2 linked regions of the Anolis sagrei genome follow. The protein of the gene in region 1 purifies or fractionates together with the protein of each later gene. This does not show direct contact. Links are inferred from orthologs where the notes say so. Each region holds a gene or a part of one and is shown on either strand. Other genes may lie near its edges. The genes, in order: RAB8A and GDI2.

Region 1 (16,911 bases):
AATTCAAAGTGCTGGCTTTGGCCTATAAAGTCCAAATCCATCTCCCCCTATGAACCATCGTGGAGATTAAGATTCTCCGGGGAGGCCCTGCTCTCCATCCCGCCATTGTCACAGGCGCAATTGGTGGGGACGAGAGACAGGGCTTTCTCGGTGATTGCCCCCCGCCTATGGAATTCCCTTTCTGGTGAGATCAGATTGGCCCCCTCCCTCCTGCCTTTCAAAAAGAGGGTAAAAACTTGGCTGTGGGACCAAGCTTTCGGGACAGGGCCATAAGGCAGCGATAGGAAACTTCCCCAGGCCAATTTAGATTTGACGCAGATGACCAAGACAGTTTTAAACAGTGCATTTTAATATTTTGATAAATGTTTATGCATATTCATATGAATTCTTGTCCCAGCATTGAATGTTTGCCATATATATGTTGTGCACCACCCTGAGTCCCCTTTGGGGTGAAAAGGGCAGAATATAAGTGTTTTAGATAAATAAATAAAATAATTATTATGTATTTAGGATTACATAAATAGAACACCCATGCTTCCCTATTCTGATTGGTCTTGTACAGCCCCGTAATGCCAATGTGTTGGTGCATTGAGGGATAGATGGGTGGGGAGATAGATAGATAGATAGAGATACAGGTGAAGAGACAGAGAGAGGGAGAAGAGAAATGTATTGGTGGATGGATGGGGAGGTAGATAGATAAAGACACAGGCGAAGAATTGGAGATAGAAAGAGAGAAATGTATTGGATTGAGGAGATGGATAGATAGAAACACAGGTGTAGAGAAACAAATGGATGGATGGGGAGATAGATAGATAGACAGATAAAGACACAGGTGAAGAGACAGATAGTGATAAATGCATTGATGAATGAATGGATGGGGAGATAGATACAGGCGAAGAATTTGAGAGATAGAAAGAGAGAAATATATTGGTGGATGGATGAATGATGGGGAGATAGATAGATAGATAGAGAAAGACTCAGGTGAAGATATGCATCTATATAAATGAAAATGTAATGTTATTTGTGAGATTAACATAACTCAAAAATCACTTGACGAATCAGACTAATGTCTGATCCCACAGCAAGCTGGCTTCAGGAAAGGCAAAAGCTGCACATCGCAAGTGCTGAACCTGACTCAGCACATAGAAGATGGCTTTGAAAGGCAGCAGATCACAGGAGCTGTCTTCATAGACCTGTCAGCGGCCTATGATACTATAAACCACCGCCTCCTCCTGAGAAAAATGTATAATATCACAAAGAATTACCACCTCACCCACCTCATAGGAAACCTGCGACAAAACAAGACCTTTTTTGTTGAGTTTCAGGGCCAGAGAAGAAGATGGCGCCAGAAACAGAAGAACGGCCTGCCTCAGGGAAGTGTGCTTGCTCCATCCATGTTCAACATCTACACAAATGACCAGCCACTGCCAGAAGGGACAGAGAGTTTCATCTATGCAGATGATTGTGCTATCATCGCTCAAGCAGGGAGCTTTGAGATGGTAGAACAGAAGCTCTCTGAAGCTCTAGATGCCCTTACCGCATACTACAGGGAAAACCAGCTGATCCCTAATCCATCTAAAACACAGACATGTGCTTTTCACCTTAAAAACAGACAAGCATCCCGAGCTCTGAGGATCACCTGGGAAGGAATCCCACTGGAGCATTGCAGCACACCCAGATACCTGGGAGTCACTCTGGACCATGCTCTGACCTACAAGAAGCACTGCCTGAATATCAAGCAAAAAGTAGGTGCTAGAAACAATATCATACGAAAGCTGACTGGCACAACCTGGGGATCACAACCAAACACAGTGAAGACATCTGCTCTTGCACTATGCTACTCTGCTGCTGAGTACGCATGCCCAGTGTGGAACACATCTCACCACACTAAAACAGTGGATGTGGCTCTTAATGAGACATGCCGCATTATCACGGGGTGCCTGCGCCCTACACCACTGGAGAAATTACATTGTTTAGCCGGTATCGCACAACCTCTAGTGTGATAAGGTTTATAGAGGGACATGTATCGCTGGATGGTTGGGGAGATAGACAGACAGACAGATAGATAGACAAATAGGAGTCAAGTATCCAGACAGAGGAAAGTAATAAAGGAAATGCTTGACAATAGTAAAAAATGAACATGAGCCAAGAGTGTGCCGAAGCAGCAAAAAAGGCCAATGTGATCCTAGGCTGCAGGAAGTTGGACAGTCGCCTGTTCTGCCTGGGAGCCTGTGTGAGTCTCCTTCGCTATAGGCTTTGAATCAGAGGCTGGGTGGCCAGCTGCCAGGAGGGGTTGGGTTGTGCTTTCCCTGCCGGGTGGAAAGAAAAGGTTGGACTGGGTGGCCTTTGGGGGTCCCCACCCAACCTTAGAATCCTATGAAATCGGATGTGTACCAGATCTGGAGTTTGATCTTTTTCCCATCGAGGTCAATTGTCCTGATCTTGAAGTCAATGCCTGCAAAAGAGAAGCGGGGTTACCATCTGGGGGATCTCACAGGGTGAGATCTTGTGTGGAGCCCCAGATTGAGGGAGATTATCAGCAGTCTTGTATCTCTTCCATTTCCTACGGTTGATGTCTTCACATCAAGCCGCTTGCCTATTGCAGTTTCAGTCTTCCCAGTCTGGTGCAGGGCGACAATTTTGTTTCTGGTGTCCTTCGACAGCTCTTTGGCCTTCACCAGAGTGGAGTCTGGAGTGTGACTGCTTCAGGTTGTGGACAGGTGTCTTTTAGACTGATAACAAGTTCAAATAGGTGCCATTACTACAGGAGGGCAGAGGAGCCTGTCTATGAGACCCAGAAATCTTGATGTTTGTAGGTTTTGTTTTTGTCGTGTCAGGAGCAACCTGAGAAACTGCAAGTCGCTTCTGGTGTGAGAGAATTGGCCATCTGCAAGGACATTGCCCAGGGGACGCCTGGATGATTTGATTTTTTTTCATCCTTGTGGGAGGCTTCTCTCATGTCCCCGCATGAGGAGCTGGAGCTGATAGAGGGAGCTCATCTGCCTCTCCCCGGATTCGAACTTGCGACCTGTCGGTCTTCAGTCCTGCCGGCACAGGGGTTTAACCCACTGCGCCACCGGGGGCTCCTATAATAACAATAATAATAATAATGGAAGAGACCCCCGTGTCTTCCAGCATCTGAATAATAATAATAGTAATAGTTGGAAGAGACCCCCAAAGGCCATCCAGCCTCTACATAATAATAATAATAATAATAATAATAATAATAATAATAATAATAACAACAACAATAATGGAAGAGACCCACGTGTCATCCAGCATCTAAACAATAATAATAATAATAATAGTAATAGTAATAGTTGAAAAAGACCGCTAAAGACCATCCGGTCTCTGCATAATAATAATAATAATAATAATAATAATAATAATAATAACCCACTGCGCCATCGGGGGCTCCATTGTTTGTAGGTGACCAAATACTTATTTTCCACCATAATTTGCAAATAAATTCATTAAAAATCAGACAATGTGATTTTCTGGATGTGTTTTCTCATGTTGTATCTCATAGGTCTACCTATGATGTCAATTACAGGCCCCCGGTGGTGCAGTGGGTTATACCCCTGTGCCGGCAGGACTGAAGGCCAACAGGTCGCAGGTTCGAATCCGGGGAGAGCACGGATGAGCTCCCTCTGTTAGCTCCAGCTATTCATGCGGGGACATGAGAGAAGCCTCCCACAAGGATGATAAAACAGCCAGGTTGTTAACAGGAGTGGCACTCAGGGAGCACACCACTCCTCTGTTGCGTCAACTCCACACAATTCCGGGCACAATTCAAAGTGCTGGCTTTAGCCTTTAAAGCCCTAAACGGTTCTGGCCCGACCTATCTGTCCGAACGCATCACCCCCTATGAACCAGTTAGGACATTAAGATCGTCCGGGGAGGCCCTGCTCTCGATCCCGCCAGCCTCACAGGCACGGCTGGCGGGGACGAGAGACAGGGCCTTCTCAGTGGTGGCCCCTCGGCTGTGGAACGCCCTTCCCGCAGACATTAGGTCGGCCCCCTCCCTGCTGACGTTCAGAAGAAGAGTGAAGACCTGGCTCTTTGAACAGGCGTTTAATTAAGCAGTGCAATTAACTGATTGATCTTGGAACTTGGAATAATGGACGAGGAAATCGGATTATGACTTTACTGATGAGACGTGATGAGTTAGTTATTATGGATGTATTGATGTTATATTGATGTATTGATGTGCTGTTATATTATTTATTTATTTATTTGCTTTATTTCTATACCGCATTTTTCAGCCCTTAACAGGCGACTCAATGCGGTTTACATGGTACAATTATCAAACAGTGTCAGTGCAATTAAAACATAACAATGGAACAAACAGGATCAACAGCATCAATCCACAACAGTTAACAATCAACAAGACAGATCAACAAAACAGACATAACATAACGCCTCAGTTGAAATCAGATCCGTTCTCATAATCCTTGTGCCATTCCTATGTTCCATTTACCGTCTTCCTATGATTGGTTGCACTGCTTAACCAAACGCTTGTTCATAAAGCCAGGTCTTAACCATTCTCCGAAACGTCAGCAGCGAAGGTGCCTGTCTGATGTCTGCCGGTAGGGGCCACCACTGAGAAGGCCCTGTCTCTCGTCCCCGCCAAGCGCACCTGTGACGCAGGCGGGATCGAGAGCAGGGCCTCCCCAGACGATCTTAATGTTCTGGTCGGTTCATAGGTGGAGATGCGTTCGGAGAGGTAAGCAGGGCCAGAACCGTTTAGGGCTTTATAGGCTAAAGCCAGCACCTTGAATTGTGCCCGGTAGCGGATTGGCAGCCAGTGGAGCTGGTTCAGCAGAGGAGTGGTATGCTCCCTGAGTGCCGCTCCCGTTAGCAACCTGGCCGCCGAGCGCTGGACCATCTGAAGCTTCCAGGCAGTCTTCAAGGGCAACCCCACGTAGAGCGCGTTGCAGTAATCAATCCGGGATGTAACCAGAGCGTGGACTACCGTGGCCAAGTCAGACTTCCCAAGGTACGGGCGCAACTGGCGCACAAGTTTGAGTTGTGCAAATGCTCCCCTGGACACCGCCGAAACTTGGGGTTCCAAGCTTAGCGAAGAGTCCAGGATCACACCCAAGCTGCGAACCTGCGTCTTCAGGGGGAGTGTAACCCCGTCTAACACAGGCTGTAACCCTATACCCTGTTCGGCCTTGATGTAGTTGCCTTAGTTACTGTTTTTAAATGCTAGTGTTGTGCACTTTGTATATTGACCTGGTTGTAAACCGCACTGAGTCGCCTACGGGCTGAGAGAGTGTGGTATACAAATAAAGTAAATAAATAAAACATCAAAAAATCATCCAGGCATCCCCTGAGCAACGCCTTTGCAGCCGGCCAATTCTCTCACACCAGAAGCGACTTGCAGTTTCTCAGGTTGCTCCTGACAGGACGAAAAAAAATACAGGCCTCTCTCATCTTTTTAAGTGGGAGAACTTGTACAATTGGTACCTGACTAAATACTTCCCCCCTCCCTGCATATATATATATATATATATATATATATATTCTCAGTTATCCAGGGAAACCCTCAAGCAACTGACAAAAAAACCTACATCAAAGACAGAATGCTTCCAATGCATCACTTTCAGAATACACTAAACCAGTAAGAAGCCTGTTGCATCCAGCTTGCCCTAACCAAGCGCAGAGTGGATGCCCTGGGAGATGGTCCAGCATGAGGCCTACTTGGAGCCCATTCTCCCCTCAACCGGAAGAGGAGCCCTACTGCTCTCCAGCTAGAAGGTGGGCGTTCGTTGCCATGGCGACCGGGAGGTGGGTCCGGGGCGTCGCCATAACAACCCCTCCCTCCCCTCCCTCAATCCCACCGGTTGCCTGGCAACGACGCACCGATGGTGGAAATGAACGTGGCGTTGAAGGCGTCCTCGCTGAAGCGGAAGAGCGCGCACGTCTTGCCCACGCCGGAGTCGCCGATCAGCAGCAGCTTGAAGAGGTAGTCGTAAGTCTTCGCCATGTCTTCCTAGGCCTGCGAGGAGCCGCCGCGGCTCGCGATAGGCCCACGTCGCTGTCCGTCAGAACGCGCCGGACTCCCATTGGCTTGGCCGTTCGCCGGCGCACTCCTCCTCGAGCAGGAAGAGTGGGGAAACTTGTGATTGGCTGCGTCGGCGCTAACGTCCCGCCCATTGGCTAGAGAAACTTGCAATTGGTCCGTGCGCTGGATGACGTCAATAAGGAATGAGGCTTGTCCGCTCTAGAGTGGGGAAACTTGCGATTGGTGCGTGCGCTGGCTGACGTCACGGTGTGGTCCGCCCGTTGCTTGTCTGGCCGGAAGCGGAAAAGGAGCTCCGGCGCCTGCCGCGGATCCAAGATGTCCGCCAGCGCCGTCTACGTGCTGGACCTGAAGGGAAAGGTGAGGTTTCCTCTCTTCACCATTCTTCTTCTTCTTTTGTGATTGTTATTAGGTGTACTTGGCTTTGGACCTGCCTTGTAACCTGTCCTTCTAGGCTGGCTGTACTGTTATGGCAGATGAGGAGAAACGGGTTTTAGTTGGGGCCTTTCCCCCTTCCGTTGCCTTAATTCGCTCTACGAAAGCTGACTGGCACAACCTGGGAATCACAACCAGATACAGTGAAGGCATCTGCCCTTGCGCTTTGCTACACAGCTGCTGATTATTTATTTTATTTTATTTATTATTTAAACTTATATGCCGCCAATCCCCTGGGGCTCGGAGCGGCTTACAAGAATAGCTAAAATCTAACAAAGTTTAAAAGCAATTTAAAACAATTTAAAAACAACAGTATCAAACATTAAAAGCCTGTTGAAACAGGTATGTCTTACATGCTCTGCGGAAAGCTGGTAAGTCCCGCAGGGCACGAACTTCAGGTGGCAGAGTATTCCAGAGTGATGGGGTAACTGCTGTAAAGGCTCTGCATCTGGTTGCTGTTAGACGCAAGGTCTTGACACTGGGGGCTTCCAATAGATCTTGGTCCTCAGAACGGAGGGATCTCTGGGGTTGGTAGGGGGTGAGGCGGTCCCTCAGGTACATTGGCCCCAGACTATGCAAGGCCTTAGAGGTGAGTACCATCACTTTGAAAGTGATCCGGTGCTCAATTGGTAACCAATGCAGCTGCAGTAAGATTGGAGTTATGTGGCATCTCATCAGAATTCCCGCAAGAAGCCGAGCAGCTGCATTTTGTACCAACTTGAGCTTCTGAATCACCAACAGAGGGAGGCCAATGTAGAGGGTGTTACAGTAGTCCAGTCTTGAGATGACCGTGGCCTGGATCACCGTAGCTAGGTCGTCCCTGGACAGGTAGGGGGCCAGCCGTCTAGCCTGCCGCAGGTGAAAGAAGGCGGTTCTGCTCACGGCGGAGACCTGGGCCTCCATTGTCAGCAGAGGGTCCAAAAGGACTCCCAGACTCTTTACCAATGATGACGGGCGTAACGCCTCGCCATCCAAGGTGGGCAGATGGATGTCCCCACTGCCCGGTCCACCCAGCCATAGGATCTCCGTCTTTGCTGGATTCACCCTCAACCTGCTGGCACGCAGCCATCCAGTAACAGCCTCGAGGCACTGATGGAAACAATCGGGTACAGAGTCCGGTCGGCCTTCCATCTTCAGCACCAGCTGAGTGTCATCGGCATACTGATAACACTCAAGCCCAAAACCTCGAACCAGCTGAGCAAGTGGTCGCATATAGATGTTAAACAACAGAGGGGAGAGAATGGCCCCCTGAGGAACCCCACAAGATAGAGGGGACCTCTCAGAGACCAGGCCTCCCCTCTCCACTCGCTGTCCACGGTTGTGAAGAAAGGAGGACAGCCAGTTTAAAGCTGCCCCCCTGACTCCAGCAACATCAAGGCGGTGGGTCAAGAGATTGTGGTCGACTGTGTCAAATGCTGCTGTGAGATCCAATAACACAAGCAGTGCTGACCCGCCCTGGTCAAGCTGGCATCGAAGGTGATCCATGATGGAGACCAGCACAGTCTCTGTCCCATGCCCCGCACGGAAGCCGACTGGAAGGGTTCTAGTCCGGCTGTGTCGTCAAGGAATTGCTGCAACTGCTCCGCTGCTGCCCTCTCAATCACCTTGCCCAGGAACAAGAGATTTGAAACTGGGCGGTAACTGGAGGGAACCGAGGGATCTAAATCTGGTTTCTTCAGCAAAGGAGAGACCACCGCCTCTTTTAAACCCTCTGGAAAGACTCCTTGCTCAAGGGAGCTGTTTATAATCTTCAACAGAGGGTCACGTGATCCCTCCAAGCAGGATTTCACCAACCAAGAGGGACACGGATCGAGGGAGCAAGTGGTCGGTCTAGCTGCAGCTATGAGCCTATCGACAGCCCCTGCATCCAGTGGGATGAACCGGTCGAGGATGGGCCCAGCAAGTGGCCACGGGGTCTCAACTGCATTCCCAGTGTGGAACACATCTCACAACTGCGTTGTTGTAGGCGTTTGGGGGCTATATGACCATGTTCTGGAGGCAATTTTTCTCCTGACGTTTCACCTGCATCTGTGGCAGTGGTTCTCAACCTTGCTAATGCCGTGACCCCTTAATGCAGTTCCTTATGTTGTGGTGACCGCAAACCATAATATTGTTTTCGTTGCTACTTGATACTTGTCATTTTACTACTGTCATAAATCATAATGTAAATATCCGATATGAGGATGGATTTTCATTAACTGGAGTAAATTGAGCACAAATACCCAATATGCCCAAATGTGAATGCTAGTGGGGTTGGGGAGGATTGATTTTGTAATTTGGGAGTTGTAGTTGCTGGGATTTATAGTTCACCTGTAATCAAAGAGCATTCTGAACTCCACCAGCGATGGGTTTAAACTGAACCTGGCACACAGAACTCCCATGACCAACAGAAAACCCTGGAAGGGTTTGGTGGGCATTGACCTTGAGTTTGGGAGTTGCAGTTCACCTACATCCAGAAGAGTGCTGTGGATTCATGCAATGATGGATCTGGACCAAACTTGGCATGAATACTCAATATGCCCAAATGTGAACACCGGTGGAGTCTGGGGAAATTGACCTTCACATTTGGGAGTTGTAGTTGTTGGGATTTACAGTTCACCTACAATCAAAGAGCTCCACTGGCTACCGATTAGCTACCGAGCCCAATTCAAAGTGCTGGCTTTGACCTTTAAAGCCCTAAACGGTTCTGGCCCTACATACCTATCCGAACGTATCTCGGCCTATCAGCCCACCAGGACCCTAAGATCTTCAGGAGAAGCCCTTCTCTCCATCCCGCCTGCTTCACAAGTGCGGCTTGCGGGAACGAGAGATAGGGCCTTTTCTGTGGTGGCCCCCCGGCTTTGGAATGCCCTCCCTACTGAAATAAGATCAGCCACCTCGCTAATGGCATTTCGGAAAAAACTGAAAACTTGGATGTTCGAGCAAGTTTTCAACTAATTCCGATGTGATGATGTTTTGATCATGGACTAGCAATCAAGGATAACGAATTGGATTACGACTTTAATTATGAGATGTTCCGGTCTGTATTGGTGGCCCAATACTATGTATGTATATGTATGTATTTTTATATTTTATTTTATATTTTTAAAGTGAATATTGTATTTTTAAATATGTTGTAAACCGCAATGAGTCGCCGCACAGGCTGAGATATTAGCGGTATACAAGTGTACTAAATAAATAAATAAATAAAATAAATTCTGTACTCAACCAACCATAGAATTGGGTCAAACTTCCCACACAGAATGCCAATGACCAACAGAAAATACTATGTTTTCTGATGGTCTTTGGCGACCCCTTTGACACCCCTTCATGACCCCCTTAGGGGTCCCGACCCCCAGGTTGAGAAACACTGATCTATGGCAAGCATCCTCAGAGGTAGTGAGGTTTATTGGAAGTAGGAAAAATGGGTTTATATATCTGTGGAATGACCAGGGTGAGAGAAAGGACTTTTGTCTGCTGGGGCTAGGTGTGAATGTTTCAGCTGATCACCTTGATTAGCATTCAATGGCTTGGAAGTGCCTGGGGGGAATCTTTTGTTGAGAGTGATTTTATGTGCCTGTTTGTTTCCCCTCTGTTGTTTTGCTGTTGTAATGCTTTGTTTTAATGTTTTGCTGTTATAATCTCACAACGTTAAAATGGGATGTGTGCACTACAAATAAGATATGTGCAGTGTGCATAGTAATTCATTCATGCTTTCTTTCAAATTATAATCCGGCCCTCCAACAGTTTGAGGACCCCTGATCTATTGGTTTATATTAAATATAATAATAATAATAATAATAATAATAATAAATATGTATTGTCGAAGGCTTTCATGGCCTGAATCACTGGATTGCTGTAGGTTTTTTTGGGCTATATGGCCATGGTCTAGAGGCATTCTCTCCTGACGTTTCGCCTGCATCTATGGCAAGCATCCTCAGAGGTAGTGAGGTCTGTTGGAACTAGGAAGAAGGGGTTTATATATCTGTGGAAAGACCAGGGTGGGACAAAGGACTCTTGTCTGCTGGAGCTAGGTGGGAATGTTTCAACTGACCACCTTGATTAACATTTGAAGGCCTGGCAGTGCCTAGAGCAAACTTTTGTTGAGAGGTGATTAGCTGTCCCTAGTTGTTTCCTCTCTGTTGTTTTGCTGTTGTAATTGGTAGAGACGAGAGACAGGGCCTTCTCAGTGGTGGTTCCTCAGCTGTGGAGCTCCCTTCCCAGCAACATCAGGCAGCCTCCATTCCTTCTGACTTTCAGAAAAAGCTAAATTCTTGGCTTTGCACACAAGCTTTCGAAGAATAAGTTATTACAGGTTTCGACACGGTCTGATTTAAGGATTTGAGCAAGGTTATCGGATGAATGGAACTATCCACCTTATATGTTTTTAATTTGTATACTGTTTTATTGATTAACTGTTAATTGTTTTGACTGTGGGGTAAGTTTCTATTGTTTATTGTGGGGTTTTACTGGCACTGAATTCTTGCCGGAGCTGTAAGCTGCCTTGAGTTCCCTCGGGTGAGAAAGGCTGGGAAATAAATAAATAAATATTTAATTTTTTAAAAGGTTGTAGTAGCTTTGTTTTTTATTGATATTAGATTGTGGGCCGCCTTCAGTCCCAACAGAGGAGAGTAAGGCAGAATATTTATATATTAGTTAATAATGCTAATAATCTCCTTTTTGGTGCCAAGAGGAACCTCCAGGTGAGCCTTACCCTGATTATGCTATTGAATACCTATTCAATATGTCACCTTGCTTTCCAGGTTCTCATCTGTAGGAATTACCGCGGGGATGTGGACATGTCAGAAGTTGAGCATTTCATGCCCATCCTGATGGAGAAGGAGGAGGAAGGGACGCTCTCGCCCATCTTGGCACATGGAGGCGTCCGCTTCATGTGGATCAAGCACAACAACCTGTATTGTATCCTTTGCCAAAGGCGTGTGCCCGCCATCACCAGCTCCTTCGACCTTTCCTTGGAGGGTTTGGTCTTTGGTCTCTGGGCCAAATTTCAGTTTGTCTGTATAATCCAGCTAGACGGAGATAATGTGAATGATCAGCTTTGATAATGTGGATTATATGGCAGTGTAGAAGGGGGCTAGGAATTGGGTCTTGCTTGGAAGGGGCTCCTGTTTTGTGGAATTTTGCAGCAAGATGTGTCTGTGCAGGCTTCCCTAATAATGAGGCCAAAAATGAGCCAGACCTTTTGCTTGTTAAGTTTTAAATTAAAATAATTTTATTTGAAAATTAAAACAACACTTCTGATGTGGCTTTTTAGCATTGTGTGCCTCCGTCTTGAGATATTTTGATTGTGTGGCTTACGGCTAAGACCTTTTTTATTCGGGCTGGCTTTTAAAGAAGAAGGTTTTTTGAGATCAAGTGCCGTGGCGTCTAGTTTTGAATATGTTTTATGGATTTTAACTGAATAATAATATCTATCTGATCTGCTTTGAGTCTCCTTGTGGAAAAAAGTGGGGTGTAAAAAAGCATAATGATGATAATAATATCTATCTTTGAGCTGCTTTGAGAGGAGCCCCCACTGATGCAGGATTGCTGACCAATAGGTCAGTGGTTCGAATCTGGGGAGAGCGGGTTGAGTTCCCTCTGTCAACTCCAGCTCCCCATGTGGGGACATAAGAGAAGCCTCCCACAAGGAAGGTAAAATATCAAACATCCTGGCATTCCCTGGGCAACGTCCTTGCAGACAGCCAACTCTCACACCAGAAGCAACTTGCAGTTTCTCAAGTCACTCCTGACATGAAAAAAAGCCGCTTTGAGTCTCCTTGTGGAGAGAAAAGTGAGGTATAAACAAACAATAATAATAATAATATTAATAGATCAGCTTTGAGTCTCCCTGTGGAGAGGAAAGTGAGGTATAAACAAACATAATAATAATAATAATAATAATAATAATAATAGCAGCAATAATAATAATAATATCTATCTTTGATCAGCTTTGAGTCTCCTTGTGGAGAGAAAAGAGGGGTGAAAATAAATGATGATGATAGTATCTATCTTTGTGCTGCTTTGAATCTCTTTGTAGAGAGAAAAGGTGGGGCATAAGTAAACATTAAAGGCATTACAATACAATTTAAAATATACAAATATGAAAACAGAATTAAACATCACTAGTATTATAAACAAGTTAAATCCATAAAACATTTTCAAATTTTAACTATTCAAACCAGGGAAGTTCCAAGTCCTTGTCCAATCAGCTTTAAGGATTTTAATTGTTTGTTTTTAATACCATGAATGTAAAGTGTAAATTCTAGGTAAACTTGAATATATCCCAAGTGTTGGACAGGCTCCTGAACCTTTTCTCCAGTGGTGGCCACCTCGAAAAAGAATGCCTGCGTCTCATTGGTGTTCTCCTTTCTGTACAAAGTGGTTCAGGTGAGTGCGGCAGGCTATTAGGTGACCTGACCTGGACAGGTAAGCTTTGGGGGAAGCTTCCTTTTGGGACTCTGCCACCTTCCTCTATGGCAGGGGTTCTAAAACCCTTTTCAGCCACAGAGCCCGTTTTGAAGCAAAATATTTCTTGTGGAGCCTCAAGAAATGCTTATATAGTATATTATATATTATATATAATATGCAGTATCTATACCAGGCACAGGCAAACTTTTTGACCAACATAAACATAACAGTATTTTAGTGGAAGACCCCATGGGCCATCCAGTCTCACCCCCTTTATTCTGCCTTCATGAAGGAACAGCACAAATCAAAGCACCCCCAACAGATGGCCACCCAGCCATTGGAGTAGTAGTAGTAGTAGTAGGCATTTGATTAGAGTCCAGTGGCAATAGGAAAAGGAATTTTGGGGTTTGCGACATGGATTCTCCCGGCTTGGTTTTTGGTTTTACTGGCACGTTAATTTATTGTTAAATTTACTGATGATGTTGTATAATGTTTTAAAATTATTTTATTGTTAAAATGATTTTATTGACCATCCAGGTCAATCTGCTTCAGCCATAAAGGAAAAATACAATCAAAGCACCCCAACAGATGGCCACACAAGCATTTGTAGTAGTAATAGTAGTAGTAGTAGTAGTAATAATAATAATAATAGGAGCAACCCCAGGGGCCATCCAGTCCAACCCCATTTCTTTCTGTCATGTGTGCTCCTCTTTTCTAACTTTCTCTCCCCCTCCCAGGTGTTTTCTGAATATTTCAAAGAGCTGGAAGAAGAAAGCATTCGGGACAATTTTGTGATCATTTACGAACTCCTCGATGAGCTCATGGATTTCGGCTATCCCCAGACCACCGACAGCAAGATTTTACAAGAGTAAGTGTTGCGGTGAGGCAGGCAAATGGGAGGGAGGAACCCAATGGGAGCCACAGAGAGGGAAATACGAGGGCCTTTGGTGCAGGTGGGTTGGGGGTCGTTGGGAGTGAGGCCGCTGTCGATCAGAGGAACTTATGGTGCTCTCCCTGGGAAAAAATGGTTGGAAATGTAAAGTAAATGTTATAATGAAGAAGATGCAGTTTAAGAATAGGTTAAGGAGGTGGGGTGAGGGATGGTTTTGAAACAAAGAGAAACACAATGTTTTGGAACAGAGAGAGACACAGAGATGCTGAATTGAAGGATAAAGCAGAGAGGGAAAACACAGACAGAAAAGGGGGAAAGGCAGTTTGATTGCATGTGTGCATCAGATCTGAGACTATAAACCCCATGGTGCAAAGAGCATTCCGAACTCCACCAATGATGGAATTGAACCAAACTTGGCACACAGAACTCCCATGACCAACAGAAAATACTGGGAGAGTCTGGTGGGCATTGATCTTGAGTTTGGGAGTTGTAGTTCACCTACATCCAGAGGGCACTGTGGACTCAAACAATGATGGATCTGGACCAAACTTGGCACGAATCCTCAATATGCCCAAATGTGAACACTGGTGGAGTTTAGGGAAAAAATACCTTGACATTGGGGAGTAGTTGTTACTGGGATTTATAGTTCGCCTACAATCAAACAGCATTCTGAATCACACCAATGATAGAATCGGGCCAAACTTCCCACACAGAACCCCCATGACCAATAGAAAATACTGTGTTTTCTGACGGTCTTTGGCGACCCCTCTGACACTGCCTCGTGACCCCCCCCCCCCCCGGGGGTCCCAACCCCCAGGTTGAGAAACACTGTGCTAGAGATATTTGAACACTGAGCCCCAATATGTGTGTGTGTTTGCGGAGGGCTCGAAACGCAGGTGCCACTGAACAGGCATCCCCTCAAGAGTTCCCTTTCTCTCCTCGTTTCTAGTTTTCAGTTGGGATATTTATTTATTTTTTTGTCATGTCAGGAGCGCCTTAAGAAACTCCAAGTCCCTTCTGGTGTGAGAGAATTGGCCGTCTGCAAGGATGTTGCCCAGGGGACGCCCAGATGTTTTATCATCCTTTTGGGAGGCTTCTCTCATGTCCCCACACAGAGAGCTAGAGCTGTCAGAGGGAGCTCATCTGCACTCTCCCCGGATTTGAACCTCTGAGTTCTCTGGGTTGTGTGTCATAAAGACAGGCAGGTATCCAATGGGGTTGCTGTGGTCGCTTTGGGGGAGGGGGGGCATGGGGAGCTGGAGCTGACAGAGGGAGCTCATCTGTGCTCTCCCCGGATTCGAACCTCTAACCTGTCGGTCTTCAGTCCTGCCGGCACAAGGGTTTAACCCACTGTGCCACCGGGGGCTCCTAGTTGGGATATAAAAGAGTCTAGAGATATTGGGGGCACTGGGTCTCAACAAAAGGCTATCCCGGCCTCTGTTTCTGGGAATTGTAAGAATATTGTCATTGGGTACTGCAGTATTCATTGGGCAGCATGACATGAAGCCAGTTGCCTGTTTTGGAAACTATGAGTTGTCTTTTGCCAAGACATGGCTTGAATCCCTGTAGTTTTTTGCCCTTTGCAAATCTGTTGCCTGTGCTTGGGAAGGTACATCACGCAAGAAGGCCACAAGCTGGAAACAGGGGCGCCCCGTCCTCCTGCCACAGTCACCAACGCGGTCTCTTGGCGGTCCGAAGGGATCAAGTACCGGAAAAATGAGGTGTTCTTGGACGTCATCGAGTCGGTCAACCTCTTGGTACGTGCACATTTTGCTTTTGAATTGAAACACAAGTGCAGATGTTTTGAAAAAGGCTTCTCTCAGCCATTGTGAGCCCCATGCAAAAGCTTGTTTCTTGTCACCATAAGCCAGAGTGGCAAATCTGAAATTGCCAAAACAATGGTTGAGAACTCAAAGCCTCCTTCTGGGAATGAAGTCTTTTTGTCTTTTGAGCTGCTCTGAGGAGGAACAAGCGAAGCTAAGGCTGGATCCATTGTTGTTGTTATTATTTGATACACAACAACATTAGTACACAGCAAACAAGATCATTATGCTAGCTGTTGTATTGGATCACATGTCGGACATTTCCCAAGTGTCTAGGACTGTGTGATGTATCAGTGAATAATGCATGAAGAGCTGAGCAAGGGTGGGCTTTAGCAACTGACCGGTGGTGATTTTGTCAGGGCCGATTATTTTTAAGTTCAGGCCGAGGTCTTTAGGCACTGCACCAGTGTGCTGAACACCACTGGGACCAACTTGACTGGCTTGTGCCAGTCTTTGCAGTTCGATCTTTAAATCCTCATTTCGTGTCAGCTTTTCCAGTTACTTCTCGTCAGTCCTGCTGTCACTTGGGATTGCAACATCTACGATCCAAACTTTGTGAAGTCAGGAGTATTGCACTTCAAAATTCTGTCAGTCCAAATCCGGAAATCCCAGAGGAGTATTATTATTATTATTATTATTATTATTATTATTGTATTTACTCAAGGTGTTCACTCGAGCTAGATTTGATCAGCTTGATACAATGGTCAGATATGGGAGATTTAACAGCACACACATTATTTCGGGCTATATGGCCATGTTCTAGAGGCATTCTCTCCTGATGATTCGCCTGCACCTATGGCAAGCATCCTCAGAGGTAGTGAGGACTGTTGGATCTATGAAAAAGGGTTTATATATCTGTGGAATGACCAGGGTGGGACAAAGGACTCTTGTCTGCTGGAGCTAGGTGTGAATGTTTCAACTGACCACCTTTATTAGCATTTGATGGCCTGGCAGTGCCTGAGGCAATCTTTTGTTGAGAGGTAATTAGATGTCCCAGATTGGTTCCTCTCTGTTGTTTTGCTGTTGTAATTTTAGAGTCTTTTTATACTGGTAGCCAGATTTTGTTCATTTTCATGGTTTCCTCCTTTCTGTTGAAATTGTCCACATGCTTGTTGTTATTTTATTGTTGCTGTTATTTTGAGGAAGGCTGGACTGGGCCTTGAGGCCTGAGATACACAGAGGGAGGGAGGGTCCACCCTCAAAGGCAGGACCGATTGACCCCTTTCTCCTCCCAGGTGAGTGCCAACGGGAACGTCCTGCGCAGCGAGATCGTGGGCTCCATCAAGATGCGGGTCTTCCTGTCGGGGATGCCGGAGCTGCGCCTCGGCTTGAATGACAAAGTC
Region 2 (16,176 bases), on another chromosome or scaffold:
AATAAGTAGAGCTGATATCAACCCCTTTCTTCAAGTCTACTTCAGCTTTAGGACCCTTTCATAGTTATAGAAAGAAGATGCCTCTTTAAATGTCCTGGTTCTATCCTCCTCGGATTTGTAGTTTACCCAGGAATTATAGAATTATAGAATCAGAGTTGGAAGAGACCTCCTGGGCCATCCAGTCCAACCCCATTCTGCCAAGAAGCAGGAATATTGCATTCAAATCACCCCTGACAGATGGCCATCCAGCCTCTGTTTAAAAGCTTCCAAAGAAGGAGCCTCCACCACACTCTGGGGCAGAGAGTTCCACTGCTGAACGGCTCTCACAGTCAGGAAGTTCTTCCTCATGTTCAGATGGAATCTCCTTTCTTGTAGTTTGAGGCCATTGTTCCGTGTCCTAGTCTCCAAGAAAGCAGAAAACAAGCTTGCTCCCTCCTCCTCCCTGTGGCTTCCTCTCACATATTTATACATGGCTATCATGTCTCCTCTCAGCCTTCTCTTCTTCAGGCTAAATATGCCCAGCTCCTTAAGCCGCTCCTCATAGGGCTTGTTCTCCAGACCCTTGATCATTTGAGTCGCCCTCCTCTGGACACATTCCAGCTTGTCAATATCTCTCTTGAATTGTGGTGCCCAGAATTGGACACAATATTCCAGGTGTGGTCTAACCAAGGAGGAATAGAGGGGTAGCATGACTTCCCTAGATCTAGACACTAGGCTCCTATTGATGCAGAGCCCTCACAGTTCTCAGTGAGCTCTAGCAACTCATTCAACTACACATCTGAGGATTCCATAGGATTAAGCTGGGCTCATAATGCTGTCATTGTGCAGCGTGAAAAGGCCCCTTAGTGTGTTGTTGTTGTTCTTCTGCCTGCTTCCTCCCACAGCCTTGCATATGGCGTGCGCTGGGCAGCATACCTCGTGTGCGCACGTTCTCCTCGAGGCGGGACTGCAAGATTCGCCAGACTTCTCTGGAACACACGCCTGGCAGGTGGCCAGGAAGCCGAGCCTCCTCCAGCTTTTCGAGAAGACAAGCGTGAGCGCATGAAAACCTGCATTGATGGCAAAGAGAACAGGGACCTTTCTTTCCAGCATCTCCCATTTTTGCTGCCAATTTATGGGGAATGTTTATACTTGCCTAGGGGTCTGCTTCCCTGCAAGTCCTATCCAGTCCCTGCCTTGAGGATTGAAAAACCATTCTGGAGCAAACATTCAGTCCTGTTGGAAGACTTTTTTGAGTTGGTGATGGTGTCCACCTTGGGTCTTGTGCCAAAAAAGAGAGGTGGGAAAATAAAGACATTTGCTTGTTTGATAAAGCAGAGTTGGATAACTAGGTTCTTGTGGGTTTCCTCGGGCTATAGAGCCATGTTCTAGAGGTATTTCTCCTGACGTTTCGCCTGCATCTATGGCAAGCTTCCTCAGAGGTTGTGAGGTCTGTTGGAAGTAGGAAAAATGGGTTTATATATCTGTGGAATGGCTGGGGTGGGGCAAGGAGCTCTTCCCTGCTGCAGTTAGGTGTGAATGTTTGGCTGATCACCTTCATTAGCATTTGAAGGCCTGCCTGAGCCTGGGAAAATCTGTTGCTGGGAGGTGTTAATCTGTGCCTGGTTTTTTTTAAAAAAAAAACACTAAAATTATAACAGCTAAACAACAGAGAGGAAAAAACCAGGCACAGATTAACACCTCCCAGCAACAGAGTTTCCCAGGCTCAGGCAGGCCTTCAAATGCTAATGAAGGTGATCAGCCAAACATTCACACCTAACTGCAGCAGGGAAGAGCTCCTTGCCCCACCCCAACCATTCCACAGATATATAAACCCATTTTTCCTACTTCCAACAGACCTCACAACCTCTGAGGAAGCTTGCCATAGATGCAGGCGAAACGTCAGGAGAAATGCCTCTAGAACATGGCTCTATAGCCCGAGGAGAGTTGGATAAGTTTAGTGAGTTCAGAAGCCAACATTCTGGAGACACCCCCCCCCCCCCCCCCGGGGTTGCTCAGAATGCCAAAACTGCCAGGAAGAATATATAGTAAAGGGAAAGGTTTCCTCTCGAACATTGTCCTGCGTGCAAAAGAATGAGGAAGTACTCCATTGGTGTCACAAGTGGATGGTGAAGCAACAGCTCCCCCAGTGGCCAGAATTCAAAAAGCATGCCCTCATCAAGCTGGAATGTTAAATAGCCTCTGTGTCTCTGTCTCTATATGTTGTGTGTCTATGGCATTGAATGTTTGCCATGTTTATGTGCATTGTGATCCGCCCTGAGTCCCCTGCGGGGTGAGAAGGGCGGAATATAAATACTGTAAATAAATAAATAAATAAATAATAACAAACCATTATCTGGTGGGAGAGTCAAGAAGAATGTTTTCCTTTCAGTTTTGGGTTCTGGAAAAGATTTATAATGATTCATGCCTCAGTCGAGTCAACGTTGTTATTTTTTATCACGGTCTTGCTTTCAAGTGCTCTGTGTTTCATGTATCAAGTTTTTGCCAAACTCAAGTTGCCTATGGGATTTTCCTCCTGTTTTGTTCCATGGTTTCAAGTGTCTTGCTTTGCGGATTTCTATATACTAATGGGACTTGTTTCCCTTTGAAGCATATGGACTATCTTGGATTTTGGCCTCCAACTGTTTTGCTATTTTTTACTGCTTTGCATACATATATTCTACCAAGGTGTGATGTTTAAGGTCAGAGGTGTTCCTCCTCTGGTGTACAACATACCCAAAGAGCCCCAAAAAGAAAAGACATTTCAAATGGCTTGAACTATATTGATTTTACCATATGGTTACTTCCTTCATCTGAAATGTAGCTTGCAGCACCTGGTATTCACTGTGGTCTCCCATCCAAATACCAACCAGGTTTGACCCTGCTTAGATTCCAAGATCACTTAGGATCTGGTGCCTTTTGGTATTTAGACCATTTACCTTAGGTAAAGTTAAAGGTAGTCCCCTGTCATTAAGTCCAGACATGTCCGACTCGGGGGGGGGGGGGTGCTCATCTCCATTTCTAAGCTGAAGAGCCGGAGTTATCCATAGACACCTCCAAGGTCATGTGGCCAGCATGATTGCATGGAGTCCCATAACTTTCCCACCGGAACGGTACCTATTGATCTACTCTGTTGAACTACAACATACACACATTTGCATGTTTTCAAACTACTAGGTTGGCAGAAGCTGGGGCTAATAGCGGGAGCTCACCCGCTCCCCGGATTCGAACCACTGACCTTTCAGTCAGCAAGTTCAGCAGCTCAGCGGTTTTACCTGCTGCACCACCAGGGCTCCAGCATATAGTAGGCATGGGTAAACTTTAATTCCCACAATTCCTAACACTGTTGAATGAATATTTTAATTAAATCTTTCCAAAGTTAAACTACGAAGCCGAACAATGCTTGCGATTTTATTCTCCTCTCTTCCTCCTAAATCTTGGCAGAACACAATCCAGTTAATTCATCCAGCCGCTTTGAGTCGCTAAAGACTGATTCGGCAGGCCCAGGCAAGCATCCGTATGAAAAATGCGATGCAACTACGAAGTGTGTTTGTGTTTGCAAGGGATCACCCTTTCCGCAGACTCAGCAGCCAAAGTACTTAGGAAGGCTTTACGTCCGCTCCATGGTTTGCATCTGTCACAGAGGGACCCGTCCTCCAGGCCTGTCTCGCCCGCACTTTCCCTCTCAGTCAACCGGAATGGAGAAAGCTTTCTGCTTCCTTAAGCCTTCCATTAGGCAGCAGAAAATGTGATTTGCTTGTAATAATGATTTCTCCTGCTCCGGTTGTGAATCGCAAACAGCATCCCTGCTTCATTTCACACCGTGAGTGAAAGGTTTACTTTCAGGGCGCAGCTCATTGAAAGGCGGGAGATCCGTGTCCAGCAGGATCTCTTCTGAGATGGAGGCGGCTTATTTGGTTTTCTTTGACATTGTAGGGTACTTATTTACTTACTCGTACTCAAAGGATGATGGTCCTCCAAGGTTGGTGTTCTGGCGGTGGGTCCGTAGGTGGTGGTCTTCCATGATGGGTTTCCTTGTGGATTCGTAGGTGACTGTGGAGCCCTATTCTTGACCTGCATCTTCTCTCGCAGTGAGGACATCGGTTTCAGGTGGAAGGCAGTCCCAGTCGGGGTTGGCTTGACGCACCTTCCTCCTGGCACGTTTCTCTCTTTCACCCTCCATTCAGGCCTCTTCAAATTCTGCAGCATTGCTGGTCACAGCTGACCTCCAGCTGGAGCGCTCAAGGGCCAGGGCTTCCCACTTCTCAGTGTTTATGCCACAGTTTTTAAGGTTGGCTTTGAGCCTGTCTTTCCATCTCTTTTCCTGCCCTCCAACATTCCGTTTTCCATTCTTGAGTTCGGAATAGAGCAACTGTTTTGGGAGATGGTGTTTGGGCATCCGGACAATGTGATTGGTCCAGCAGAGTTGATGGCAGAGGACCATCGCTTCAATGCTGTTGGTCTTTGCTTCTTCCGGCATGTTGACATTTATCCACCTGTCTTCCCAAGAGATTTGCAGGATTTTCCGGAGGCAACACTGATGGAATCGTTCCAGGAGTTGCATGTGACGTATGTAGACAGTCCACGTCTCAGAAGCTTATAGCAGGGTTGGGAGGAAAATAGCTTTATAAACAAGCACCTTGGTATCCCTACGGATGTCCCGGTCCTCAAACACTCTTTGCTCCATTCGGAAAAATGCTGCACTCGCAGAGCTCAGGCGGTGTTGCATTTCAGTGTCAATGTTGATGTCTGTAGACTGTCCACGTCTCGCAGGTGTATAGCAGGGTTGGGAGGACAATGGCTTTATAAACAAGCACCTTCGTATCCTTATAGATGTCCCAGTCCTCAAACACTCTCTGCTTCATTGGGACAAATGCTGCACTCGCAGAGCTCAGGTGGTGTTGAATTTCAATGTCAATGTTGGCTTTTGTGGAGAGGTGGCTGCCAAGGGAACGGAAATGGTCAACATTTAATAATAATAATAATAATAATAAAACTTTATTTATACCCCGCTACTATCTCCCCAAAGGACTCAATGCGGCTTACATGAGGCCAAGCGCACAGTACATCAGTAAACAAAGGCAATAACAAAAACAATCAATACAAAACAATTAATATAAATCACATAAACAAAAAATATACAATAACAGTAACACACAAGCATTTAAAAATGGTGTAACATTTTCTAATGTTACACCATTAAGCTGTATCTCTGGCATTGGAGAGGGATTGGCTGGTGACTGCTGGAAGAGGACTTTGGTTTTCTTGATGTTTAATGACACGCCAAGCTGCTCGTATGCTTCTGCAAAGGTGTTTAGAGCAGCTTGTAGGTCTTCTGAATGCACACAGACGACGTTGTCATCAGCATACTGGAATTCTATAATAGATGTTGTTGTAGGGTAGGTTTAGAGGAAAGCCTTGGGATCGGATGGGAGTTGCGGTCGTCCTGGTATTGGAGCTGTTTCCACCGACTACATTGGAATTGAAGATGCCAGTTCTTGACTTCATTATATGACGGGGAATCATCACAATAAATCCTTTTCACCTCATTGAACGTCTCCCTTGGTGTGCGGCCTTTCAAGGAAAGGAACTTGAGGACTGCTCTGTGTTCCACTGGGTCCATTCTCAAACCTCACACCACTTCAGCACCTGTCTCATCAAAACCATTAAATTGGCACGTAACCTATAAAGACTTTGATCATTACACATGTGCATTTTCAGCAATCTGTGATAAACAGAAGTGGGTTAGAGAGAAATCTTTAATGAACGCCCCTTGTAAAATTGCAAATATATATATATATATCCAAGATTATAAGAGATTTCAAGATATTTAAAATCCAAGAGTTAGGTTAAAATTGCAAAATAAATCCAGAATTACAAGATATTATAAGATATTTTTAAAATTCCAGAATAATGTTTTAAAATTGCAAAAATAATCATTGCAGAATTACAACTATGTTAAGGTTAAATGCATTTTAAAAATAAATAATATATAAGAAAAATTTCTAGAATTATGTTTTAAAATTGCAAAAATAATCATGGCAGAATTACAACTATGTTAAGGTTAAATGCATTTAAAAAATAAATAATATATAAGAAAAAAATCCAGAATTAATGTTAAAAATTGCAAAAATAATCATGGCAGAATTGCAAATATTTTATTGTTAAATGCATTTAAAAATAAATAAAATAATGGGAAAAAATCCAGAATTTTGTTTTAAAATTGCAAAAATAATAATTGCAGAATTACAAATATATTAAGATTAAATGCATTTAAAAATAAAAATAATATAGGAAAAAATTCCAGAATTATGTTTTAAAATTGCAAAAATAATCATTGCAGAATTACAACTATGTTAAGGTTAAATGCATTTAAAAAATAAATAATATATAAGAAAAAATTCCAGAATTAATGTTAAAAATTGCAAAAATAATCATGGCAGAATTGCAAATATTTTATTGTTAAATGCACTTAAAAAAATAAATAAAATAATGGGAAAAAATCCAGAATTTTGTTTTAAAATTGCAAAAATAATAATTGCAGAATTACAAATATATTAAGATTAAATGCATTTAGAAAATAAATACAATATAAGAAAAAATTCCAGAATTATGTTTAAAATTGCAAAAATAATCATTGCAGAATTACAAATATGTTAAGGTTAAATGCATTTAAAAAATAAATAAAATATAAGAAAAAATTCCAGAATTATGTTTAAAATTGCAAAAATAACAATTGCAGAATTACAATTTTTTTAAGGTCAAATGCATTTAAAAATAAATAAAATATAAGAAGTTCAGGATGTATGTATTTATTTGGAGCTCAGAACCTCATTATGCACCAAAAACTTTGCAAGGCAACCTTTCCCCAGGTCCCTTCTCGCTTATGCGCCTGCGCCAAAACTCCCAGGCTCTGACGTCAGCAGGAGCCAACCAGCGTGGCAGCGGCGCCGAGGGGCGTGGCCTTCCCCCTTTCGCCCCGCCCCTTAGCGACAGCGTCTCTTAGAAGGGAGGGGAGGAAACAAAAAGTTGATTGACGTCGCCAGGGAGACCAATGACGGCGCCGGAGCGGCTCAGACACCACCTCGAGCTCCTCCCATTTTTTTCGGCCCAATGGAGAGGCCTGGGGCGGCAGGAGGGTCCCGGCAAGCCCCGCCCACCCAACGAAGCCCCGCCCCCCAGCTGGAGAGGGTGAAGGCGCCAGGAAGCTCCGCCCCAATCCTGGGAGTCCACGCCTACGCCACGCCCCCTGGACAAAACCCCGCCCCCCTGGCGCGGTCTCCTCACAGCGGCGTTGGCAGAAGCGCCTCCATTTTGCGCTCCTCCTCATCCTCCTCCCGCGAAGGAAGCGAAGCCCTCGCCGGCCCTCCTCCACCTCCTCCTCCTCCTCGGCGCCGCCGCCAGCAGGTCCTCTTCGCCGCCGCCATGAACGAGGAGTACGACGTGATCGTGCTAGGCACCGGCCTCACGGTGAGCCAGCGAGCGGGCGGGAAAGGGGAGCTAATCGAGGCAGGCTCCGCAGAGAGGACTAGGCCGCGCCCCCCCCTACTCCACCTCTCTTGTCCCTTCAGGGCCTCCGTAGACATTTCTCTTTCCCTGCAGGGAATACTCTTACTACTATTAGCAATAATATAGGGATACACTGCCAATATACAGATTATATGCCAAATTATATGATAGTATATATAATATAATATTGATATAATTTAATACAATATAGTACTACTAATAATATATTGTAATTATATATTTTATATTAAATGTAATATTACTAATATTAATATTGTGCTATGGTAATGATATACTACTAACAGTAATTTAGGGATACACTGCCAGTATACAAATTATATGGCAAATTATAAATATAAATATAAATTATAAATATATGTCATCTTGTCTTTCCTAATAATATAATATAGTTTGTTGTATATACATATAATATTTATAATATTATAATGTAATACAATACAATACTAACAATAATATAGTTATACGCTGTTTGGTTGTTCACTTAAGTAACCGGATCAAATTTTGCCATAGTCACTGTTGAATGTTTTTATATTGAATATTTTATATTGTGTATAAACTGTTTTAAATTGTAAGTCGCTCGGAGCACCTTGGTGGAGAGCGACTATTTATTTATTTATTTATTTACTTTATTTGTATACCGCTCTTCTCAGCCCTTAGGCGACTCAGAGCGGTTTACAAGTTTAGATATACAGAATACAAAATCATTGTGCATTTAAAAACAATTACTATTTATTTATTTATTATTTATTTACTGCGCTTATATACCGCAATTCTCAGCCCTTCAGGGCGACTCATTGCGGTGTACAACATGAAGAAAACAAGTGCAAGAAAACAAGACATAGTGCAAAACAGTGTACAATTCATCCTAATCATAAAAACATCTTATCAAACAACAACATCAATACAAAATCACTACTACATTCCGAGTCGTCTCATCGTCAAGTCACAATCCGATCTCTTTTCCAGTGTTCCATTCCTATGGTCAATTGCCAGTCATTGCACTTATTGGTCAAATGCCTTCTTAAATAGCCAGGTCGTTAACTTCCTGCGGAATATCAGCAAGGAGGGGGCTAGCCTGATGTCCACGGGAAGGGTGTTCCACAGCCGAGGAGCCACCACCGAGAAGGCCCTATCTCTCGTCCCCACCAGCCATGCCTGTGAGGCAGGCGGGATCGAGAGCAGGGCCTCCCCGGAAGATCTCAAAGTCCTCGTGGGCTCATAGGCCGAGAGGCGGTCAGTAAGGTATTTTGGGCCGGAACCGTTTAGGGCTTTATAGGCCAGTGCCAGCACCTTGAATTGAGCCCGGTAGCAGATTGGCAGCCAGTGGAGCTGGTACAGTAGAGGGGTTGTATGCTCCCTACGTCCCGCTCCTGTTAGCATCATGGCTGCCACACGTTGGACTAGTATTATATTGCATTACAGTACAATATTATAAATATTATATGTATATATTATATTATAACATATTATTAGAATAGCACAGGAGACAAGGTGGAACTGTCCCCTGGCCCCTCTTTCTTTGCTCTGGCCCAGAGCGGCAGTTGGTGCTGTGGGGAGGGGTCCCCAACGGATGGCAAATGCAGGAGACAAGATGGTGCTGTCCCCTGGCCTCCCCTCTCTATAAAGTGATGATGATGATGATGATGAATACTAGTAATAATAATTCAATATTATAATTATAATTATATATTTACATTACATGTAATATTACTAATAATATTACAATATAATGGTATAGTGCAATATAGTAATATATACTGATATTGTACTATGTTAATAATATAATATATTGTATGAAAATATATATTGTAAGCCGCTCTGAGTCCCCTTCGGTGTGAGAAGGGCGGAATATAAATGCCATAAATAAATAAATAATAAATATAGTGCTATGTAATATATAATATTAATAGTGTGCTATGGTTATGATATACTACTAACAATAATATAGGGATACACTGCCCGTATACAAATTATATGCCAAATTATATAGTATATATAATATACATATAATATTGATAATATTATAATGTAATACAATGTAGTACTACTACTAATAACATGATCTTATAATTATATATTTTATATTAAAGGTAATATTATTGATAATATTACAGTATAATGTTATTTTAATATGTAATATATAATATTAATATTGTGCTTCTAGCTGTCCCCTGCCACACGTTGCTGTGGCCCACATGAGGGTTCTGTGTGGAAGGTTTGCCCAAATTCTATCGTTGGTGGGGTTCGGAATGTTCTGTGATAGTAGGTGAACTATAAATCCCAGCAACTACAACTCCCAAATGTCAAGATTCTATATTCCCCAAACTCCACCAGTATTCACATTTGGGCATATTGAGTATTCGTGTAGAGTTTGGTTGAGATCCATCTTTGTTTGAGTCCACAGTGATCTCTGGATGTAGATGAACTACAACTCCAAAACCAAAGGACACTGCCCACCAAACCCTTCCAGTATTTTCTGTTGGTCGTGGGAGAATTGTGTGCCAAGTTTGGTTCAATTCCATCCTTGGTGGGGTTCAGAATGCTCTTTGATTGTAGGTGAACTATAAATCCCAGCAACTACAACTCCCAAATGACAAAATCCATTTTTTGATTGAAGGATATACATTGGGTTGTTAGGTGTCTTGTGTCCAAATTTGATGTCAATTCGTCCAGTGGTTTTTGAGTTCTGTTAATCCCACAAACGAACATTACATTTTTTTTATATAGATCTCCTTCTCTCACGTCCCTCTCAATATGCATATATACACACATAGAATCATAGAATTCTATGTGTTGTAATATATCAAAATAAGTTATGAAAATCTTGAAATTTATTTTTTCCCTTTAGTTTCTACTCCTTTATCTCATATCTCCTTCTGTGAAGTCCCTTTCAATATATATGTGTATATATATATACATACAGACACACACAAATCAATATATATATATATATATATATATATACACATATCAAATGATACATTTAAAAATAAGGTACGAAAATCTTGAAATTTATTTTTTCATTTATGTTCTATTCTAGCTCACATCCCTCTCAAATATATATATATATACACACACACACAATATATATACAAATAAGGTCCTGAAATAATTTTTTTCCTTTAGTTTCTGCCCCTTTATCTCGTATCTACTGTTACATATATTCACACATATATACATTAATATAAGCACATATAAAGTAATATATATAAAATAAGGTGTGGAAATCTTGCCCCAGGCACTAACAAAAAAAATTTCCTTTAGTTTTGTGCTTCTTTATCTCTTACTTATCTCCTGCCACATTCCTCTCAAATATATATAAATGTTAATATATACACATATAATATCATATATATATATATATGGATATATATATATATATATATATATATATATATATATATGGATATGTATGTGTCACCTTTTCTCATTTATTTGAGTTCTCTCCATTCTTGCATATCTCCTGCTATCATGTCTCCTATCTATATTTTTAAAAATCATTTTAGTTCCTTATCCTTTCTTACATATCTCCTTGGTATGTTCCTCTCATTTAATCAATCTTATTTTTTATTTTTTTATCACACCCCACCCTCTATATGTAACATTTCTCATTTATCTTTGTTCTCTATTATCATTAAAAGTGGAATTTTCCTCATTCATTCTAGGTTTTTTCCCCTTCACACATATCTCCCTTTGTCATCTTGATTTCAGGATTTCATTTTAATTTTTTTCATTGGTTTTACTTCCCCTCTCCTTTCTCACGTGCCTCCTTCTGTCATGTCCCTCTCAAATATATGTATAGTGTCCCTTCCCCACTCTTACATGTCTTCTGTCATATCTCTCTCCAAAAATATTTTTGAAGTCTCATTTATTTTTATTCCCTGCACTGTTTTCATATACTTCTTTTTTCATGCCCGTTTCAAAAAATAGAAATGTTTGACATTTTTCTGTTTACTCCCCTGCTCCATTCCCATGCATCTCCTGTTCCTCTCAAAACTATTTTCTCCTATATTTTAGTGCCTTCCCCATTGTCACACCCCCTTTTTTGAATTTTCTCTCATTTATTTCAGTTCCATATTCTTCTCATGCATCTCCTTCTTTAATATCCCTATCAAAAAAATAAAAAAAATTATGAATTTTCTCTCATTTTAGTATTTTTGCCCTCTTCTGTCACATCCCTTGGGGAAAGAAACCCTTAAAATTTCTCTCAGATCTCATTCATTTTAGTTTCTGTCACATGGTTTAAAATATTTTGGGGTTTATTTCTTCTTTTTTCAGTTTTCTGCTCTTTTTCTTTCTGTCACATGGTTTTAAATATTTTGGTTTTTTTTCTTCTTTTTTCAGTTTTCTGCTCTTTTTTCTTTCAAGTCACAATTCTTGAGATTTCTCTTGATTAGTCCCAACAGGGACAAACTTGGGAAAACAGTTTTTGAATGACAGTCAACTTACAGGTAAATCCAATTGAAATCATGGGTTTGGTCTGGTTGGGGCTAACAATAGGTTTTACACCAACCATTCTCTTTTTCTTTCTTTTTGTGGCTTAACAGATGGGACTTCCCTGCAAGGGATTCTCCTTAAAGAGCATCTGCTGTGGCTTCACATTGTAATGGATTGCTTCTCCCACTCCCCATTTTGAAGTTTTGTACCTGCTCCTTGGGTATTTGTTTGTTGTACTGATCAAGTGTTACTTGACATACTAGATCAGTGTTTCTCAACCTAGGGGTCAGGACCCCTGGAGGGGTCACGAGGGGGTATCAGAGGGGTCACCAAAGACTATCAGAAAACACAGTATTTTCAGTTGGTTATGGGGGCTCTGTGTGGGAAGTTTGACCCAATTCTATCATTGGTGGAGTTCAGTATGCTATTTGATTGTAGGTGAACTATAAATCACAGCATCTGCAACTCCCAAATGTCAAAGTCTATTTCCCCCAAACCCGACCAGTGTTAACATTTGGGCATATTGAGTATTTGTACCAAATTTGGTCCAGATCCATTATTGTTTGAGTCCACAGTGCTCTCTGGATGTAGGTGAACTACAACTCCAGAATGCTTATTATATGTATTTACTGTATTATTATAAGTGTCTTATTTTAACTTACTACGTGGAGTGTGATCAGGTCTTGTCACGCCTTGTTGTTCTGTTTCTTATTGTGATATGGCCTAAGGGCTAATCAATAAAATTACTACTAACTCCAAAATGCAAAGTCAGTGCCCACCAAACTCTTACAGTATGTTTTGTTTTGGTCATGGGAGTTCTGCGTGCCAGGTTTGGTTCACTTCCATTTTTGGTGGAGTTCAGAATTCTCTATGATTGTAGGTTAACTATAAATCCCAGCAACTACAACTCCCCAATAACAAAATCAATCCCCGCCCCCCGGCAACCCCATCAGTATTCAAATTTGGGCGTATTGAGTATTTGTGCTAAATTTGGCCCAGTAAATGAAAATCCATCCTGCATATCAGATATTTACATTACGATTCATAACAAGAGCAAAATTACAGTTGTGAAGTAGCAGTGAAAATAATGGTTGGGGGTCATCACTTGAGGAGCTGTATTAAGGGGTCACGGCATTAGGAAGATTGTGAACTACTGTACCAGATCATCACATGACACTGTAAAGCACTGCTATCCCACTTTAAATCCTATGGCAACCTCCTGCAGAATCCTGGAGTTTGTAGTTTTTAACCTAGGACTTCTCTGGCTGATAATTTTAAAGGCACCTCCCCAAACTGCAAATTCCAGCATTCCACGGGAGGCAGCCATCGGATTTAAAGTGTGATTACAGTCAGCGTCTCTCCGCCTCTACAGAATATTTTGCTGTTCTTGCTCTGTCTTCTACTCCCCCATTCAATCCCAATTACTCTTTCTGTTTTGATGACCACCCACCTTTCTGGGCTCTTATGTTTTGTGCTGTTTGTCCTTGGCATAACCTGCTCATCAAACATCAGTGGGCAGCTTTTACTGAAAGGCCGTCATAGAATATTTATTTATTTATTTAGAACTTTTATATACCGGTCTTCTTGACCTCCGAAGAGGGACTCAGGCCGTTTCACAACAAAAGATTCATAACAATAGTTTAAAACATCACATCACATAATACACTAATACATAATACATAAAATACATTAAAATACAATACTATAATTACATAAGGCCTTAGGTTTTAATTGCGTCATGGTGTCATTGTTTTTAGTGTTTTATTTTTGCTTGATGTTTATCGTTTGCTTTATGAGTTTTATTGCTGTGTTGTTACGTTGTTGTTTTGTTGGCGGCCTTGACCTTTGTAAGCCGTATCGAGTCCTTCGGGAGATGTTAGCGGGGTGTAAATAAAATTAATAATAATAATAATAATAATAATAAGGCCAAGTCGTCAGAGTGAAATCACAATTCATCACCATCCGTCCGTGTGTTCAAGGGTTATTGACTCCCTCATCAAATGTTAAATTCCAGAGCCAAGTTTTCACCAGCTTTCTAAAAGACAGGAGAGAAGGGGCAGTTCTAATCTCCAGTGGGAGAGAGTTCCAGAGCTGAGGGGCCACCACAGAGAAGGCCCTGTCCCTCGTTCCCACCAGACACGATTGCAAGGGTGGTGGGACTGAGAGCAGGGCCCTTCCTGAAGATCTTAACAACCTTGATGGTTCATAGGGGAGAATCCGTTCGGACAGGTAAACTGGGCCAGAGTCGTTTAGGGATTTATATGTCAGCACCAGCACTTTAAATTGTGCTCGGAAGCTAATTGGCAAAGGTCCATGAAATCAAGCACCCTTTCCTCCATAACAGTCAGTCTAATGATCATGAGCACCCCACAAGCAGGATGTGAAGGCAGTAGTAGAACCCTCCTGATCTATAGTAGTCCTCTTCCTGGTGTGAAGACTCTCCTTTAGCATCATGATGTACCTCAAACCAAATTGGTGGCTCTCTCTCCTTGCAGGACTGAACTCCATGGGTTTATATAGTATTATGTGTATGTTTTCTGATGATTATTTTGCATGTTTTGTGTTGGCAATTGCGATGCTTTACCTTTGCTGAAAACGCCACGAGACCCCTCAGGAAGATAGAGCAGGATACAAATGAAATTTATTATTATTATTATTATTATTACTACTACTACTACTACTATTATCTGGAGCCCTGGTGGCGCAGTAGGTTAAACCCCTGTGTCGGCAGGACTGAAGACCGACAGATCGCAGGTTCAAATCTGGGGAGAGGCAGATGAGCTCGCTCTGACAGCTCCAGCTCTTCATGCGGGGACATGAGAGAAGCCTCCCACAAAGATGATAAAAACATCAAAAATCATCTGGGCGTCCCCTGGGCAACGTCCTTGCAGATGGCCAATTCTCTCACACCAGAAGTGACTTGCAGTTTCTCAAGTCGCTCCTGACACGACAAAAAGTATTATTATTATTATTATTCCATAAGCTTTTATTTATTCTAGCTTTTTGTTCCCATTGCAATACACATTTAACATGTTTTGCCAGTTTTTTTTTTATTTCTTGATCTGATTCTTTATTATTATTATTATTATTAATATTAATATTATTAGGTTGCTGTAAATTTTTTCGTGCTATATGGCCATATGGATATTTTATTGTATTGTCGAAGGCTTTCATGGTCGGAATCACTGGGTTGTTGTAGGTTTTTTAGGGCTATATGGCCATATGGATATTTTATTGTATTGTCGAAGGCTTTCATGGTCGGAATCACTGGGTTGTTGTAGGTTTTTTAGGGCTATATGGCCATGGTCTAGAGGCATTCTCTCCTGATGTTTTGCCTGCATCTGTGGCAAGCATCCTCAGAGGTAGTGAGGGAGGTCTGTTGGAAACTAGGAAAATGAGGTCTTTATTATTAATAATAACATTATTATTAATGTTATTCTTTATCTAGGAGATAATCTTTTGTCTGTCCTTAATCTCCTGTCATTCAGGAAGATCCTACTCCACAGTACTGGAGATTGAGGTCTCATTCATGATTGTCAGCAGCAGCCCCTTCTACGTTCTGCTACCTCCCTCTTTCCTGTCACATTATAATCATACCTGTGCCCCTTACTCAGTCTTTCTAGTAGCCATACTTCATAAAGTACAGCTCTAAAGACAAATCCCCGCCACTTCCCTTTTTGTTGCTAATTGTTGACAAGTTGACTGACTTATGGTGAGCCTATGAGTGGGAGACCAGTTCTCACTACCTCAGTTTCCCGTGCCCCTTCTAGAGCGGTGGTTCTCAACCTGTGGGTCCCCAGATGTTTTGGCCTTCGGCTCCCAGAAATCCTAACAGCTGGTAAACTGGCTGGGATTTCTGGGAGTTATAGACCAAAACACCTGGGGACTTAGGTTGAGAACCACTGTTTTACAGGGTTGCAGTTTTCTTGTCACATGCCACATTAGACTCATTCCCTTTTCAGATGGAACACTTTTTGATACCCCTTCTACTTCCCTTGAGTCCTGCCCCCTCCTGATACTCTTACAGTCCTCTGGGGTTGTGATCCCATAATAATAATATTTATTTATTTATTTATTTATATACCGCTCCATCTCCCTGAGGGGACTTAAAGCGGTTCCCAAGTAATATCACAAAACATACAGAGTAAAAACAACATAACCATAAGATTAACAAACAAAATATAAACATAAAAATTGTCACCATAACACACTTATATTAAAAGTAATCCT

What was found.
Region 2: the proteins of RAB8A (region 1) and GDI2 purify together in Homo sapiens (co-immunoprecipitation; 5 studies listed by BioGRID and IntAct, with this or other methods). This does not show direct contact. The link is inferred for Anolis sagrei from reciprocal best matches to the Homo sapiens genes RAB8A and GDI2.

The regions. Positions count from the first base shown.
Region 1 is NC_090034.1:59,400,188-59,417,098, reverse strand, and holds the start of RAB8A (ras-related protein Rab-8A), read right to left. Parts: upstream 6,034-16,911; 5' UTR 5,993-6,033; coding exon 5,869-5,992; intron 2,456-5,868; coding exon 2,395-2,455; intron 1-2,394. Other genes in the region: AP1M1 (AP-1 complex subunit mu-1), read left to right, coding at 6,347-6,388, 11,206-11,362, 12,765-12,832, 13,591-13,721, 15,355-15,502, 16,804-16,911. UniProt on the Homo sapiens protein: The small GTPases Rab are key regulators of intracellular membrane trafficking, from the formation of transport vesicles to their fusion with membranes.
Region 2 is NC_090025.1:193,948,895-193,965,070, forward strand, and holds the start of GDI2 (rab GDP dissociation inhibitor beta), read left to right. Parts: upstream 1-7,092; coding exon 7,093-7,449; intron 7,450-16,176. Other genes in the region: ANKRD16 (ankyrin repeat domain-containing protein 16), read left to right, coding at 885-1,045. UniProt on the Homo sapiens protein: GDP-dissociation inhibitor preventing the GDP to GTP exchange of most Rab proteins. By keeping these small GTPases in their inactive GDP-bound form regulates intracellular membrane trafficking.